3 linked regions of the Sus scrofa genome follow. The protein of the gene in region 1 interacts with the protein of each later gene in a biochemical or structural test. Links are inferred from orthologs where the notes say so. Each region holds a gene or a part of one and is shown on either strand. Other genes may lie near its edges.

Region 1 (5,555 bases):
AAGGCTAAGGCACCCCGCACACCCACAATGGCTCTGAAGCCAAAGTCACCAACTTCAGTGCCCGGGGCGGCAGGTAACCCAGGGAGGGAAGCTGCGGGTGTGGTGGGTGGGCTTGCACCACCGGGATGCAGCAGCCCCTCAGGCAGAGCCCTGACGGAAGCCAAAATTTTCCCATTTTTCAAGCGAAGCGGGAATCCCGATTTGTATGTGACATCTCGCGATGCTTTAATACTGACGGCTCATAGGCTGGGTTCCCTGGAAAGAGCATCGGAGAAGGGGAGTTGCCAGCTGGCCCACGTGCGATGTAAGGGGAGCGCCCATCCTCAGGTGACCTCTCAGAGTTGTCGGGGAATTGACACAAGAGGACCAGGCCTTTGCAACCCTGCATCTGCCCGTCTTTGGTCATGAACCACCCTCTGGGAAGGGGCATCCTCTTGGGATCTGAGCAGAGCACCCACGATATCCACTGTAACTAATTGCGACCAAAAAAAAAAAAAAAAAAAAAAATTAGACCCAGGGGAAGTTCCCATCATGGCTCAGTGGAAACGAATCCGACTAGTATCCATGAGGATGCAAGTTCGATCCCTGGCCTCACTCAGTGGGTCGCGGATACGGTGTTGCCATGAGGTATGGTGTAGGTCACAGATGCAGCTCGGATCCCAAGTTTCTGAGGCTGTGGCATAGGCCAGCAGCTGTAGCTCTGATTCGACCCTTAGCCTGGGAACTTCCATATGCCACCAGTGCAGCCCTAAAAAAAAAAAAAAAAAAAGACCAAAAAAAAAAAATAGACCCAGGGTAAGATGAATGAAATATGTCTGCAAACTGAACCTGACACTCTGAAGGGTTCTCTGCGATCTGATAAACGCATGCCCCCTTTCCCCCCACCCCACCCCCATGGGGCCTCTGTGCTTCTCTCAGTGGGTAGCTGGTTTCCCCCAAGTTCTTTGGCACCATGGCTGCTCCAGGAAGTTGTGCCTGGAGTCCAGTGTTCCCAAGGGGCCCCCTTGTTCCAGTCTGAGCAGCCAGGAGGAGAGGCTGGATCACCCCCCTACAGGGTCTGCATTCCAGGGGATTCCACAGGAGCTAGGAGCAGGGCACGACCAGGGGCAGGGGGTGCCAAGGGCGCCCCTTCTCAGCCCGCCCAAGCTCCAGGAGGCAGCAGGCAGATTACAAATCTGGGAATGAGTTGTGGGGGGAGGACGGTGAGCAAGGAGAAAGGGAGAGCCCCCTGGAACCTGAGCGCCCAAATTCAGGGCTCTGTGTCAGCTCAAGTGCCCCCATCCCACCCCTCTCTGTCCTTGAGAAAAATTTGGGGCCCCACGGCAGCTCAGAAGAGTCGGTGTCCTGCAAGCCTCTATCAAGTGTCTGCCTGGGAGCTCCGATCTCTACTGTGTCTCTGCGGCTCTAATCCTGTGTCTGTGCCCGCCTGTCTCTCAGTACCCATCTTGGCGTTTGTCTCTTTCCTGGTCCTTGCTCCTCTGTGTGTGCGTGTGTGTGTGCGCGCACGCGCGCGCACGCACCCACACATGCCTTGGGACCACAGATGCATTGGGGAATAGTTTCTGCATCACGTCTCTTTGCCTCCATCTCTGTGTGTGTGTGTCTCTCCATGTGTGTTTCTGTTTCTGCTCTCTCTGCATCTCCCACAGGAGCCCGTGTGAGCGCACCTCTGTGTCACTTCCAGTCATTGTGTCTGTTGGTTCATCCTCCGTCCCTCCTTCTGCTGGAGTCTCTCTGGTGCAGGGTCCCTCTGCAGCTTCATTGGGCGCCCCCTACACCTGGACCCACATGGCATCTGCCCCCAACCCCTCCCCCCGCCCCAGCATCCACCTGTCTCTACTTGTGTGTTTCTCTCTCTCCCTCCCTTCCGCTCCCTCCAAAGCCACATCCATCCCTCTCAGTCACTCTCTGCCCCTGAGGATTTCTCCCTCTGTCCTCAGACAGTCTGGCTTCGTGACGGCTCTGCCTGCTATAGGTCGACAGGCCCCCGGCCAGCACGGAGCTCCCTGTCCTCGCCCCGTCCCTTTGCAGGGGAAGCTGCAGCTCTCAGAGCCTGCTGGCTGTCCCACCCCATGGGCCATTCAGTCCTTTCTTTAATAAAGAGGAGTCCTGCCCTCTCCAGCCTCTTCCCGCCCCAGCCTGGCCTGAGAATCACACCCTCTCCCCTCTTTTGGTATAAACCGCGGGTGTCTTTTCTCTCTGCAAAGAACAGCCTCAGTGCTGCATATCAGTGTTGGAAACAGCTGTGTGCATGGCTGCAGGCACGGCCACAATGTGTCTGTGCCTCCCTGTGTCCCCTCTCACAGTGGCTGTGAACCTTTCTGTGTGACTCGCTTTGCTCAGTGGGACTTGCCCTCTTAAGGAACGTGGGACCTCCATGTCAGCAAGTCTAGGCTAGCCCATTTGGGATAAAAGACTCGTGGCCCTGTCATCCCCATCACTCATGTGACAGCCAGCCATCCTTCCAGACATGCGGGTGAGGCCCTCCAAGCCCAGACAAATACCCACCCCAACCCACTAATCGACCACACAGGCATGAGCAAGGGCAGTCCAGACCCAAAGGACAGCCTGGCAGCATCATGAGCTAAACAAATGGCTCCCGTTACCCTGCAACAGACAAGTGGTACCCAGCCTACCCTGCACTCGGAAGAAGGTGCTGCAGACCCCGGGGGAGGCGCCCCGACAGCAGAGGCGGACTGAGTACTTACTGTCACACTTCATCCCCTGGTGGATGAGTCCATACAGCAGGGACCCACAGTGGTCACAAAACGTGGGGCTGGAGTACGTGTGGATCTTGAACTTGTGTTTGCTCCGGGGGTCCTAAGGTCCAAAGAAACCAACAAAGAGACTGGCATCAGAGTGGCATGCCAAGAAGTCACACTGCACTGAGCATCACTGGAGAACTTAATAAAAACGGAACCTGGCCCCCAGCGTTCCGTGTACCTCTTGGGACCACTGGCAGGGTCCTGTGCCCAGACACGGCGCTTGATAAAGAGTCACTGAATGAATGAATGAATGAATGAATGGACTAAGACCACTGACAGCGCCCATTCCCACCCCAGCACACTCACTCACTGTGCCTGCACGTCCTCTATCTGGGAAACCAGCCTGCTGAGTCCTGCCTCCAGCAAGGACTCCAGAGACAGCAAACAAAACGCCAGACACATCAAGTCAACAGGTTTCCTTGTTTCTCTTTCCTTCGTCCTCTGAACAACTCCTGGAGTGATCTAAAACCCAAGTCCGGGCATGAAACCTCCCCCCCTTAGAGGCTATTTGCTAGGGCCTCATCACTACAGGACAGAGTTCAAAGTTCAGAGTTCAGGATGCATAGTCAGTAGGTGGTGGCAGAGATTACCGGCATTCCTCCAATATCCATTCTTCCTTTTAAAAACAGATCCCTTGAGTTTTAGCAGAGAGCATCGCTGCTCCATTAAAGACCACATGCCCCAGCCTCCTTGCAGCTCGAGATCTAGCCCATGGGAGATACGTGTTTAAAAGGAAGATGTACAGCCTCCCTGGCTCCCTGTGTCCCTTGGCACGGGCTGGAAGATGGTAAGATGTGGACGTGACCACCTTGGACCCAAACTTGGACCCAGCAGCCCTGGACTTTGTCCCTTGGGACACACATTTGACCGAAAAAATCTACCTTCTGTTTTCTCAAGTCACTATATGGGGGGGGGGGGTGTTTGTTATAGCAGCTTCTGCTGTTCCCTAACTAACTAACTTGGCCTTTGTAACCTAGCAGTGCAGTGCATTACTGAAAGGTACTGACAGTGGAGCATAAACTGCCTGGGTTCTTGTTAGATGCATGATTTGGAACAAGTTATTTATTTGTGCCTCACTGTCCTTGTCTGTATGATGGAGAGAGTGATAGCACTATAAGCTTACAGGAGCATGAGGAAGAATAAGTGAATTAACCCAAGTAGAGAGCTTGGACCCGCCTGGCACACAGTAAGCAGTATAAGCTTTAGTATTATTATGAATACATCCCCCACGTGATCCCAACTATGTTTTCAGGACCCAGGACTTGGTCATACTCCCAAGCGTGCCATGCCTTTCATGAGTCTATGGCACTACACAACGTCTTTCTCCTCCAAGAGATGCTCCACCAACAACAAAAATTCCTTCTCTTTGGAGTTCTGGTCGTGGCACAGCAGAAACAAATCCGACTGGGAACCATGAGGTTGTGGGTTTGACCCCTGGCCTCGCTCTGTGGGTTAAGGATCTGGCGTGGCCGTGAGCTGTGGTGTAGGTCGCAGACACAGCTCAGATCCTGCGTGGCTGTGGCTGTGGCTGTGGCTGTGGTGTAGGCTGGCATCTGTAGCTCTGATATGACCCCTAGCCGGGGAACCTCCATAGGCCATGGGTGTGGCCCTAAAAAGCAACATAAATAAATAAATTTTTAAAATTCCTTCTCTTTCTCGACCCAGCCTGAGAAACTGCTTTCTCTGGGAAAGAGTATACTACAGAAGTGAACGGGCCCAAGGTTCTAACCCAGGGCTGATCGGACATCCTAGCCTTTGCTATACACTACCCACCTCCTCCCTAAACCATTCATGCATCCATCCACCCATCCATCCACATTTGTTAGTTGATGCAGGTGCCTTTTAAAAGTTATCCTAGTAACAGAGACAGAAAGTGAACAAGTAAGCAAGTAAAGAGAATAAGCACGAATTCTGTGCTATTAAAATGATAAGCATTTCTCCTTAGGAAACTGTTAGGTTCAAAGTTTAAAAATAATCTTTATACCTACTAGAATGGCTGAAGTGGTAGAAAATTCATACTGACAACATTAAGGGCTGGAGAAGAGAAAACGCAACTGGAACGTTTGCAAATACTGGGGGCAGGGGGTGCAAAATGGTAGAGCCCCTCCAAAAAAAAAAAAAGGTGTGGCAGTTTCTCCTTTTTTTTTTTAAGGGCTGCACCTGCGGCATATGGAGGTTTCCAGGCTGAATCAGAGCTGTAGCTGCCAGCCTACCCACAGCCAGGATCTGAGCCACATCTGCGACCTACACCACAGCTCACAGCAATGCCAGATCCTTAACCCACTAAGCGGGGCCAGGGTTCAAACCCTGCATCCTCATGGATTCTAGTCAGAGTCATTTCCACTGAGTCATGAGGGGAACTCCTGCATCTTAATGAGCTACAAAGTTTCTCTTCCGATGTTCCAAGCCTCTGGGGTCAGAAAGACGAAGTGATGACCCTTGCACAGTTCTGAATGGCCAAGTTTAAGAAGCTGGGTCAGCTCTGCTCTGGCCACGGGACCCTGCAGGGCTGCCAGGATGCAAAAAGGCTCCAGCAGCCACCTGTTCTGCTTGAGGATTGAGGACCACAGCAGTAACAGCAGAGCTTGGAAATCCCAAGACAAAAGCGAAAGGCTCCCATGCCTGGGCTAAGACACACATCCCGTTCCTGAAAAGAGTCCCAGGGCTCAGAGCTATAAAACGTTTCCCATGTACCTGACCTTTGAGAATTCACCTTAAAATTGAAAAATGAGTGCCTCAAATCCACGTAGAAAGAAACACCAGTTCATGATGGGTATTGGCCTGAGGGGG
Region 2 (6,218 bases), about 84 Mb from region 1:
ATCAGAAAAATAACTCAACTGAAAAATGCACGAAAAGGCCTAAAAAGACAATCCTCCAAAGAAGACATGCAGATGACCAAAAAACACATGATACGATGATCAACATCACTAATTATTAGAGAAAAGCAAGTCACAACTATAATGAGATGTCAGCTCACATCAGTCAGAATGGCCATCATTAAGAAGTCTACAAATAACAAATGCTGGAGAGGGTGTTGAGAAAAGGAACCCTTCTACATTGTTGGTGGGAATATAAATTGTTGCAGCTACTATGAAAAACAATGTGAAAGTTTATCAAAAAGCTAAAAATATAGTTGCCATATGATCCAGCAATCCAATCCTGGGCATATTATCTAGACAAAACTATAATTCAGAAAAATACATGCACCCCTATGTTCATTGTAGCACTCTTCATAATAGCCAAGACATGGAAACAACCTAAATGTCCATCAACAGATGAATGGATGAAGAAGATGGTACATATACACAATGGAATACTACTCAGCCACAAAAAAGAATGAAATAATGCCATTTGTAGCAACATAGATGGACCTAGAGATTATCATACTAAGCGAAGTCCGTCAGAAAGAGAAAGACAAATACCATGTGATACCGCTTATATGTGGAATCTAAAATATGGTGCAAATGATCCTATCTACAAAACAGAAACAGACTCACAGACATGAAGAACAGACTTGTGGTTGCCAAGGAGGAGAGGGTGGGGGAGGAAAGCATTGGGAATTTGGAATTAGTATACGCAAACTATTACATATTAAATGAATAAACAACAGAGTCCTACTGTATAGCATAAGGAACTATATTCAATATTATGTGATAAACTGTAATGGAAAAGAATATGAAAAAAAATTTAGGTGTAACTGAATCACTTTGCATATAGCAGAAATTAACCAACATTTTAAATCAACTATACTTAAAAAATAAAATAAATCACTTTTTGAAGCATGGTATACACAGTATAAAAGTGAAAAGAGCAAAAATATATCAGAAATTAAACTGCCCACCCATTCCAGATACCCACGCCCACTTTGCAGAGTCAAGCATGTTTAGGGATCTTGTTAGACCATGTGCTCTTAACATTTTGAAAGAAGTTGAAAATTACCATCTATCAAATAGTTTATTCCAGTGTATACTTCCAAATACTTTATATGGATGCTTATTTCTTTTTTTTCTTTTCTTTTCTTTTTTTTTTTTTTGTCTTTTTGCTATTTCTTGGGCGGCTCCCGTGGCATATGGAGGTTCCCAGGCTTGGGGTCGAATCGGAGCTATAGCCGCTGGCCCACGCCAGAGCCACAGCAACGCGGGGTCCAAGCTGCGTCTGCGCCCTACACCACAGCTCACAGCAACGCCGGATCGTTAACCCACTGAGCAAGGGCAGGGATCAAACCCGCAACCTCATGGTTCCTAGTCGGATTGTTAACCACTGCGCCACGACGGCAACTCCTGGATGCTTATTTCTTCACTCTTCAGGGACATCGGACAATAGCCAAAATTTTGATCTGCCAATCTGACATGTAGAAAATGACATCTAATTTTTATTTTCGTTTGTGTTGCATACAGTTATGAGAGAAGTTAAACAACTCTGAGTAACAAGACTGTGGACAATCCATTAGTTTAGCGCAATTGGCTGCAAATGGTTTACAAATTCAACTTCATACTTTCATTCACTCAAAAGCATCTGCTTTTCTTGTTCACCTGATATTTTCCTTTTGCTGAATCTTGCCTCAAGAAATACTGATTCATTTCCTTCTGAATGAAAAGAAACAACTATGGCATGACCCCCACCCCTACCCCCGTCTGCCTCCTTCCTCATTTCCCCCAGGAAATTCGATTTTTAGAGCAATCCTTTGAAAAATGAAGGCTGAGATGTAGGTTGTTTACAGTTTATATGAAAAAAATGATACATCTCCAAACCCAAGATTTGTTTATGGGAAATGACAACTTAGAGCCAAACCAAGGTTATAGGAATTTAAAGAAAATGTTGGCTATGGTGCACAGATCAAAGCTGAATTTTCCTTGTTTACTGGTGTTCACTTGAAAGAAACACACACACACACACACACACACACACACACACACACACACGCACCCCCAAGACTGCTTTTTGAAATCAAATGCATTTCCTGCCCTCTTCTTTCCTCAGTGCTCTTACCACCAGCCTATTTATAGCCCAGGAAAGGAAAAAGCTCTGCTGGAGGCAGGAAAACTAAGTTCAGAAAGAATAGGAGGAAGTGTGCCTGCCATTTAGCCAAACAACCTTTAATTCATTGAGCTCAAAGCTTAGCAGCTTCACTGTCGTTGTTAGGGTGTAAACAGCTTGCAAATTCAATTTTTTTTCCTCTTCCCGATTCTGAACTGGATTTGGGCAATGGAGGTGAATGCAGCGTTTTAGAAGAGAGGACAGGATTCTCTAGGTGTTCCAACACGTGGAAGAGAAACTTGTTAAGAGTTGTTGAAGCAGTGCGAAAGAGAGGATTTGATAAAGAGATGCGCTCGAAATGATTCCACGACTGCAAGTTAAGGTAAGTGTCCTTTTTAAGACCGTACATTGTTGTGTCTACATTCATATCATGTACCATGGATACTGGTCACAGACAGTGTATATAATCTGAGGGCAGGTCCTCATGCAGAGCTCATGAACTTTGCTTCTATCTCTGAAGAAATGTGCAGATCAGCCTCGGCTATGCCATCTTCACTTTTTAACAGGAATAAAAATTTTAAATAATTGTTTCCTTAAGATAATTTTATCGCCACTAAGTTTTCTTTCATTTCATTACCAGCAGGGGATCAAATAGTATAAATAAATTCACTGAAGATCATTTTGAAAAATCCTTGATATTTGTCTGTTTTTCTATCCTTCTCAAAGTGCTGATTAATAATCCATGTGCCCTTTTCTGGTATCGCTATTGGTTTAGAATACATTTACTAGATATGCTTCCAAGCTAGTGTGACCTATTTTAGAAAAGTTATTTTTAACTAAAAAATTTAAATTTTATATAAAATGAAAATTAATTTTTTTCTATACAAAGTGTCTCCTGGAATTCACAATTATTTACACTGAAGCTATTATTTCAAAACATTCATTGAACATGTATTTTCTGAGTAACCTGAACAAAGGTCCCTGGATTTGGAAGTGGAAAGGTCAAGAGGAAATGGATTAAATCTGAGAGCTCTTGATGCTGCCCACAAAAACTCTGAGAGATGGGGACATTGTAACTTCTTTTAACATTTCTTGCCATCAAACAAATACATTTGTTTCCATGATGACCATACTTTCATCCACCACTGCTAACCTCCACATCTGTGTCCTGGAAAAACTTGATTAATGTCATGCCCATGTCAAACAAAGGAATAGGGGTTCTGGTGGTTTCGGGAAAAGGAAGAAGGAAATGTATTGCTGTTATTTTGGCTTACCCCAGTTTGAGATTGGTATGTTTAGCATCTGCTGTAAGAAGATAGCAAAGCTGGAAGCCAGAATAGCTGAGCCAGCCAGATGACAATTGACACAGGAGGCCACGGGCTCAGTGCTGTCTCATTATGGAGCTCACCGACTGTTCTCTTTCCTGGAAGAATTTAAGGGTTATTTTCTTCTGATTAGAAAATTATAATTCATTCCATGGAAATAGCGGAGAAAAAATATGCTTGACTAGAAAGAGCAATATTTCTTAGTTAAACGTAGGTTGTAAAAAATAGGGGGAAGTGAAATTAATCTGGACAAATATGATGGGTCTGAGGAAACAAATTCTGAGCACTCGTTTCTAGGACATGCCAGTACTGCAACGTCCTGAATTCAGGGCTGAATCTATTTTACTCTTTCCACAAAGTGAAACCTATAGTACTCTAATTAACTGCCACTCCACATGGGTCCACATTGCTTACAATGATCCTGACTTGTGTTAACGTTGAACGTTTTCCTCTTACAGTTTCAAAACAGCATTCTCATTTGACACCTTTGTATGTTTACATACATTACAAGAATAAAAAAAGTTTTAAATACTACTGAAGGTTGAAACAATAGATAAAACTACGAGTTATCTATTTTATTCTAAGAATATGTATTTTTTTCACTTTTAAAAGTTTTGTTGTTGGTCATTGGTTTCTGGATGCTCCATAGTTGCTTATGAATGTATTCATGAAATGCCAGCTATTTAAAATAGATTTCTTGAGCGTGGCTTAACAATGTCACAGCTTTCTGGATGTATTCTGAAGCTCCTGAGAATATGCTACATTATTAGAGTTAGAAAATTTGGGGGGAAAAAAAGCTGCCAATTTTTAAAGCTTCTCTGTTAAATAAATAGACATTTATTTCTGGGTTTCCAGCATAACTCCTGTAATCACTGTATGTTTACAGATTGCACAGGACAGCCACCTTTGACCCTGCCATTGAAATATCACTGAAATCAGGTTACTGATGAGAGTGTTGTGGAGTGTTAAGAAATTTAGATGTTGCCAAGTGCAATCCACAGTTTGCAGGATTTATTGAAGAGGGACATAGGGAGATGCGTGCCAAGGTCAGGTGGACATACCCACCTGGCCTGTTGCTGTGGGAGGAGGGGGAGGTGAAAATTGATGTTCATGGGTCTATGAGCACCTTACATCCAGATTAGTGGCCTCTGGAGGTTCTTTTTCTCCTATGCTCTCATCTCCTGATATCCTGTTTGACAGGTCAGCAGCAACCCTACACCTTCAAAGCATATTTATTAAGTTCTCCTACTTGTAATATAATCTCTGTCTTTGATAAACTCAGCATTTACTTGGAGCAAGGAAATTATGTGGAACACAAGACATCCTGTATATGGAACCAAATGGGTGGTATAGATAATGTGTACAGATGAGGAAGCCCTGATCTAAGCAGGCTTCATGGAAGAATGAGGTTGAGCCCAGCCTCGAAGGGCAGAAGGAGATCTGATGGGTACAGCAAGAGATAAGAGCATCCAAGACAAGGAAGGATCTGTGTGCCTGGGCAGAGATAGCAATGGACTTGGGTCACCAGATAAAATACAGGATTTCCACTCAAGTGTGAATTTCCAATAAACAACGTATACTTTTTCTAGTAAGAGTATGTCCTATTGTATCAGTATGAGAGGCCTATTGCATGAGATATACTTAAACAAAACATGTTTGTGGTTTATCTGATTCACATTCAACAGAGAGTCCTGTGTTTTTTATTTCCTAAATCTGGCAACCTTTCCAGGGAACCAGGTTGACAGGAGCAGAAACAATACACATATGGAGTAAAAGAAAAGCTTCTGGAGGAGGTGGGGGTTAGGTTGAGGTGGGACTGCAATGCCAGACTAAGGAAGTTAAAATCTGATTTCAAGATGCTGGAGAGCCACTGAAGGTTTTGAAAAGGGAAATGACATCAATAAGATCTTCCCATTCCAGGCAGGACCTGGTGGGGCAAAGAGTACAGTTCATCAAGGTCTGGGGGCTGGTGACAACAGAGAAAAAGAAACCAACCAGATAGAGGGACAGTTGGAGAACAAAGCCACATGTTTTGTAAACTAATTGAATATGGTTTTTGGAGAGGACGTGTTAGAGAGGATATTATGTTTTATGGTCCATTCAAAGAAATAGCCAAAGAGATAGCCGCAGATCAGGGAGTTAGGGAGACAAGGATTTTGGTTTCAGACATACTAAATTCAAAGTGATGATGGGATAATCAGGTAGAAATAGTAAGTGGACAGTTGAGAATAATGATGACAGTCAACGCTGGTCAAGAATTTTCTATATGGCAAGCTTTTTAATATCCATTCTCTGATTTAATGCTCACAACCGCCCATGGGCAGGTTCCACTGCTCGACACATTGTATAAATGTGAAAACAGGTTCAGACAGGGTAAATGACTTGTCCCTGATTTCCTAGCTAGTGGCAGAAAAATGGAACCATGTGTTCAGGAACTCAAAGCCAGGTACCCACGCATTCTCACAGAGAATGTTGAGTATCTGCTCTGGATTCAGTTTCTCCATCAGCAAAGATCTAGGGCCACAACCGCTCATGCTATAACCCAATTTTTAACTAGATGCATAGTAGTCGTTCCTAACTGTGGTGGCCCTCAGAATTCTGCACCATTTGCTGAATCTCCCTAAGGAAAGGGCTAATGGTTTATACAGAGATTTTCCTTTTTTTAAATTTTATTTTAAAGTTTGAGTTCAGATAAAGTTTATTAAACGGGATTTTACTACCTACATTGTTTTTCC
Region 3 (6,003 bases), on another chromosome or scaffold:
ATTTTTGCACTTTAATGCCACCAACATTTTTTAAAAGTTAGTGCTGTGATGCCAAGAGTTTGGTGGCATCAATGGAGTGCAGTGACACACGTTTACTCTTGATCCCAGCACAGTGGGCTAAGGTAAGGGTCCAGGGTTGCCATGGCTGTGGTGTAGGTCACATCCCAGGCCTGACAACACCATATGCCATGGTGTGGCCCAAAAAAGGGAAAAAAAAAAAAAAAGCCAAGACAGAGAGGTCTCTCAAAGAGCCCCTTTAATCAGTGATTTTCAACAGTGGATGATTTTTTGCCCTTCTGAGGACACTTGGCAATGCCTGGCGTACTGTTAGACACACTGAAATGCAAAACAACCACTTAAGTATCAACTGTGCTGAAGTTAAGTTGCTATAACCGAGAATCCTTTTCTATAGGCCAATGTCTCCCACCACTGCAAACCCCAATCCTAAGAACTTTTTAACTCATTGTTTTGGGGGTATCCACTGACACTGTGATGATTCAGTTGTTCACAAAGTCCAGATCCCAACAAGTGAGTCAAATGACATACCAGGAAATCCCAAGACTGAAAAAGCTTTCAAGGCATAGCCAGGTATTTGGCCTCAACTGCGGCACATACTCACCCAGATCTTGATGCTAGGGCCTGTAGCAGCACAGAGCCAGTAGCGATTGGGACTGAAGCACAGGGCATTGATGATATCCCCACCATCTAGCGTGTAAAGGTGCTTGCCTTCATTAAGGTCCCACAACATGGCCTGGCCATCCTGAGCAGAGAGGGGATGCAAGTCAGGGCAATGTGACTTCTTCCAGATGTTAATCCCACTCATCTCAAGTCTTAAGAACTAATCAATCAATATCAATATGCTTTCCTTTAATACATGACACCTCACCAATCCTATCAAGACACAGGATCCTAATCTCATCAATAGCTTTAAGAAACCAGCCTCACAGCAGACAATCTCGGCAAAGAGCACACCTTTTCTGTCATTTTCTGCATGGTCTTCAGAAACATTTATTCTTGTATTACTATTTCATTATCTTAAGTATTCTAAGACACTGTCTGTCCCACTTCTGCCCCCGCCCCTTGAGGAGACTCCTGGCCTTTGAATACCTTGCCTCCAGAAGCACAGAGGGATCCATCTGGAGAGACAGTCACAGTGTTCAGGTAGCCTGTGTGGCCGATGTGATTGGTTTTCAGCTTGCAGTTAGCCAAGTTCCATACCTAAGATCGTGGGTCACAGGTGAAAAACCTGGCCCTGGATCTGCCAAGAGGGCTCAGGCCAAATAAAAGGCATAGCACAATGTTTAAAAGCATTCCTGAACAGGGAAGCCAATTTCAATTCTATAAGTAACAAAAAAGGTCAAAGAATTTGTCCTGAGCACTTAAGAATAGTAAGATTAAAACTGGAAATTGGAATTGGGAGTTTTCCTGGTGGCGCAGTGGGTTAAGGATCTGGCAATGGCACTGGCACTGACGTGGCTCAAGTTGCTACTGTGGCATGGATTCCTGGCCCCAGAACTTCCATGGCCAAAAAATAAACATTTCCCCCCGCCCCAGAAATAAATGATTTGTGTTGCCACCAAGGGACACTAATTTACCAATTAGCTACTTCAGAATATATATAAAAAAGTAATGACCTATACTGAGAAAATATCAAGAGGATAAAGGTCAATTGAGGGACACAGCTTTCAAAGCTGGAGCTATGACCAACTAATTGGGAGGCAGTGGGGGTTGGTATAAAGGCCCTACACCCTGGCTCCAAGCTCACCTTGACCAGCTTGTCCCAGCCACAGGAAACAATAATGGGATTGCTGCTGTTGGGTGAGAAGCGGACACAAGACACCCACTCTGAGTGGCTCTCATCCTGCAAAGGATGGAAGGAAAATAAGATACTAAGCAACTCTAGATCACCAACCCTTCCCTCAGTTACAGGGATATATTTTGATAGCCTTGTGTTCACACCCCCAGAACCCAAACCCTCAATCAAGATTGACAGAATTGCTTTAGATCCCCAAAGAGGCTTGAAATCACCACATAAAGCCAAAAGGATGGGAGAAAATGTTCAACATGTGTTCCCTGCGTGTGCCCTCACTTTACCTGGACAGTGTATTTGCACACACCCAGAGTATTCCATAGCTTGATGGTTTTATCTCGGGAGCCAGAGACAATTTGTCGGTTGTCAGAGGAGAAGGCCACACTCAGCACATCCTTAGTATGGCCTACAAATCGGCGCGTGGTGGTGCCCCTGAGAGGGAGGACTTGGTTACACTATGGATGGACTTTGCAAATATTCTCCCAGTCATAACTGTTTCCCTAGGCTGGTTCCTGTCCCAATGGAGCTGCACTACTCACACAACCCTGGACATGGTTTGGTAACAGCAGGCCCTTGGCTGGAATATGCAAGAGAATCCCTTCAGAATTGCAGGACATGTCCTCATTCCCATGTGGGGATTGGCTGACAATGTCATTGGTCATCACCAGGATCCTCCATTATGCCTGACCAACCAAAGACTGAGCTCCCAATATACAACAGGTTCAAACTGTTGCCCACTCCCTAGTGCAGTACCTGAAAAAACTGCTCAACCAAACCACTTCACAGAAATTTTGCATAATAACAAATAAGGAGGCAGGCCAAACAACCAGAACTCTTTTCCAGATATTCTCTTACACAGTGAACCTGATCTCTCCTGGGAAACTACTTCCAGAAAGTATCTACCTCATTTCTACCCAGCTTTCCCCCAATGCCCCCAAACAGGTACTTGCGTTGTGAGATCCCAGAGGCGAAGGGTTCCATCCCAGGAGCCCGAGAGGGCAAACTGGCCATCTGAGGAGATGACCACGTCACTAACAAAGTGGGAGTGACCCCGAAGAGCACGCTGTGGGATTCCATAATTGGTCTCATCTCTGGTCAGCTTCCACATGATGATGGTCTTGTCTAAGAGGAGGTAAAAAAAAAAACAGAGGAAAGCCACTGAGAAATCCCGCAGCCCATCTTCTGACCTACTAGATAATCCAGGATACCTCAAGGTGATTGACGGGCTCACAAGTTAAGTACATTAAAGGGGTAGGGGAACTACAGGTTATGAAAGCAGTTCCCAGTCAGGGCCAAATGGTCAAGAGTGAAAAAGCTATGAGAATTTAACTCAGGTGTTTGGAACTTTTCCAGATTATGGATGCCTTTTACAGATATTCGCACCAACTCAACGTCTATTTCAAGTTTTTTTCTGAGTTCTAATGGATGGGTACAGCACTCTAGGTGAGAGAAAACTAGCTGTGAGCCTCCAGAGACTACTGCTGGGGCCTCCAGAAGTTCTGAAATTAGAAGTCACTTTAGGCTCTACAGGACTGGGTTCTTTCACTTCAATGCGTTCTACTCAACAAACTTTCTGATTAAAACCCCAAACGCAGTCATATACAAAGAGAATGAGGAAAAACCGAGGGCAAAATCGGCACACGTTGACATTGCAATCACTCCACTTCCAACCGAGTAGAGGGCCGGGCGGCAGCTCAGAAACAGCCTCTGGGTTTCAGCATGGGCACTCAGATGGCATGTTGGAATCATCACCGCCCCGTCCGGCCCCGAGGCTCCTGGGCACACATCCACTTAGATAAGTCGGCCAGAGATTTAAAAGAAGTCCCCAACCCCCTCCTGGCAGCTACTGGGTGGTCTATGTTTCGCAGTCTGCAAAGTGGGGACGCCTCAAGGGTTTAACCACGCTGAGGCCTTACGCACGGGTCAGCTCACACCCTAACCGAATTTTCAGGGCCGCTACTTGGCGGTCTACTGGCCCAGCCATACAACGTGCGCAATCCCCTACTCCCGTATCCTCTACACCGCACCTCAGTCCGTACCTCGAGAAGCGGACAGTATCATGTCCGGGAACTGGGGAGTGGTAGCAATCTGGGTCACCCAGCCGTTATGGCCCTTGAGGGTGCCACGGAGAGTCATCTGTTCAGTCATGGCGGCAGCAGATGCAGATGTCGCCGGAGCGACGAGGATGGTACCGGATAGCTCAGAGAGACGACCTGCACGGCCTCTCACGCCGAGGCCCGGCTGAGGAAAAGACCGAGCAGTGGCATGCCGGAACCGGAAATACCCTCCCTCTCCGGAAAAATGGTGCCCTCCCACAATGCACTCCTGCTCAAGATGGCGGCACTACATAGTGCCCGGGAGGAAGCAAAATAAGACCTGATGGTTCCCTGCTCCGCGCGACCTAATTTGGCAGCACTGTAAAAATGAATTCCAAAACCGACACGCCAGAGTATTTTAAAAGGCTCCTCAAAGGTTGATTAGGGAATGATGTCTAAAAAGCGGAAGACGGGAAGTGCTCGCCCCATTCCCGTAAGGATAGCCTAGCGCCTTCGCTTCCCGTAGGTCGCACCGCGCGAACCCCGCCCCTTCCGCTTCGTGGCTCTGAGAGCAACACAGAGGGCGTTTAATATCGAGGCCGCAACTGTGAGTAACGGTGGGCAATGTAAAAAATCCGGTGTTAAGTTTTAAAAATAAACTGTGCTAAGGTGAACTATTAAACTCTAACAGATATACATGCGCGGGGGACGACTCTTCTCTGGAGAGGTTTATGCTCTGATGTTTTTGGCTGAGGAACTCCATGCCCAGAAAGACTGAGTTCAGCCAGGACTAAGGCAGAAATGGGTTATGGAGCGGAAAACCGAGGATGAAGGAAAAATCCTTATGTGGGCTGCTGGGCAGTCACCCCACTCCTGCCTCGGCAAGAGCGCGGAGAGCTCTCGCGGAAACTGAGCGGTCCTAAGAGGAAGGACCTGTGGGTTCTGACTTAATGTGGGCTCGGGTCAAAACCAGCTCCTGGCCAAGCCACCTCATGGAAGGGCCGTGGGTCTGGGGCGGGGGGGGGGGGCGGTGGTCCTAGGCGTGCCCAAGTATTTCCTGTTTGTAACTTGTATTAACTTAATTTCTTATCAGTCAAACGAGTTTGGGAGTAATAGTACCTACCTCCTAAGGTATTGTGGAGAGTAAATGAGTTAAGACAGGTAAAATGCCCAAAAAAGTGGCTGGCAGAGTGAATGCGCCCAACTTAACATTTGAGTACCAGACTCTTTATTTTAGATCTTGGGGATATATCTCTGAAGAGGAAGAAAGGGACCAGGTTTAGTTTGTTTTTAAGTTTACAGTCAATGCGCTGGAGAGAAGAGAGCTTGAAGGGGAGACTTTAACAAAGACAGGAAGATCTGGGAGAGAACCCCGTGGATTTATGATGATGTAATGTCCCAGTCAATGGTTACATATAGAGAAAGTCGGAGGGAAGGGTCAGTGATAAAAGTCCTGAGCTGGAGCGTTGGAAGCGCTTAGGACGGAGGGTCGGAATAATGAGATGGAGGTGGGGCGGGGGAGCTGACAGAGGGCCTTGCAGGCTGGGGGAAGGACCGCGGAAACCCCAACCAGAAAGCCTGCCTTTGAGAAGGAAGGCAGGGGTAATGGCGAAGCTGCTGTTGGCTGTGGCCGCTCAGGTGTGCAAAGAGGGCCGGAATTTCCTCGCTTGAGAGCAGCTACTCTCCTGCTGCCCCTGCAGACCCCTGCTTTCCTCTGCAGCCACGTTCGGGCTCGGAAGGGTGCAGTCTTTGTTAAGCTCCTCCACAGCCTGACAACTATCCTCCCAGACTCCCAGCTTTGTGCATCACCTGCCTCCATGACACCCCCAACGGCTGTCCTGTCACTTTCTCCGGCTTTGAAGGCTACCCCACCCACGTGTTTTGTTTCTGCTGTGGTCATGGGAGACCATTGCCTTTACCTACCCCACTATCCAGCTTGCTGCCCACGACTTGGGCCATGCCTGAGTCCTTCTGGGCACTGGGCACAATGGAGAGGTGAACAATTCTATTGCATCTCAGTGTGGAATATGAGGCCTGCTGAGCAAAATCTCCTCTCAGTCCTCAAGAACCCTCGATTCTCCACCTCCTACCTCCAGTCCCCAAAGACACCATCACTAATCACACATTATTACACTTTTTCCCCCAAGAAACCTCTTT

Evidence for each region. The genes of interacting proteins can lie anywhere in the genome.
Region 2: of the proteins of PRKCB (region 1) and RASGRP3, one has a biochemical effect on the other in vitro, tested with the Homo sapiens proteins (2 studies listed by BioGRID). The link is inferred for Sus scrofa from reciprocal best matches to the Homo sapiens genes PRKCB and RASGRP3.
Region 3: the proteins of PRKCB (region 1) and RACK1 form a complex in vitro, tested with the Homo sapiens proteins (2 studies listed by BioGRID). The link is inferred for Sus scrofa from reciprocal best matches to the Homo sapiens genes PRKCB and RACK1.

The regions. Positions count from the first base shown.
Region 1 is NC_010445.4:22,179,926-22,185,480, forward strand, and holds part of PRKCB (protein kinase C beta type), read right to left. Parts: intron 2,821-5,555; coding exon 2,709-2,820; intron 1-2,708. UniProt on the Homo sapiens protein: Calcium-activated, phospholipid- and diacylglycerol (DAG)-dependent serine/threonine-protein kinase involved in various cellular processes such as regulation of the B-cell receptor (BCR) signalosome, oxidative stress-induced apoptosis, androgen receptor-dependent transcription regulation, insulin signaling and endothelial cells proliferation.
Region 2 is NC_010445.4:106,209,743-106,215,960, reverse strand, and holds the start of RASGRP3 (ras guanyl-releasing protein 3), read left to right. Parts: upstream 1-2,173; 5' UTR 2,174-2,540; intron 2,541-6,218. UniProt on the Homo sapiens protein: Guanine nucleotide exchange factor (GEF) for Ras and Rap1.
Region 3 is NC_010444.4:57,278,234-57,284,236, reverse strand, and holds the start of RACK1 (receptor of activated protein C kinase 1), read right to left. Parts: upstream 4,046-6,003; 5' UTR 3,959-4,045; coding exon 3,850-3,958; intron 2,933-3,849; coding exon 2,761-2,932; intron 2,243-2,760; coding exon 2,095-2,242; intron 1,862-2,094; coding exon 1,766-1,861; intron 1,219-1,765; coding exon 1,108-1,218; intron 761-1,107; coding exon 620-760; intron 1-619. UniProt on the Homo sapiens protein: Scaffolding protein involved in the recruitment, assembly and/or regulation of a variety of signaling molecules. Interacts with a wide variety of proteins and plays a role in many cellular processes.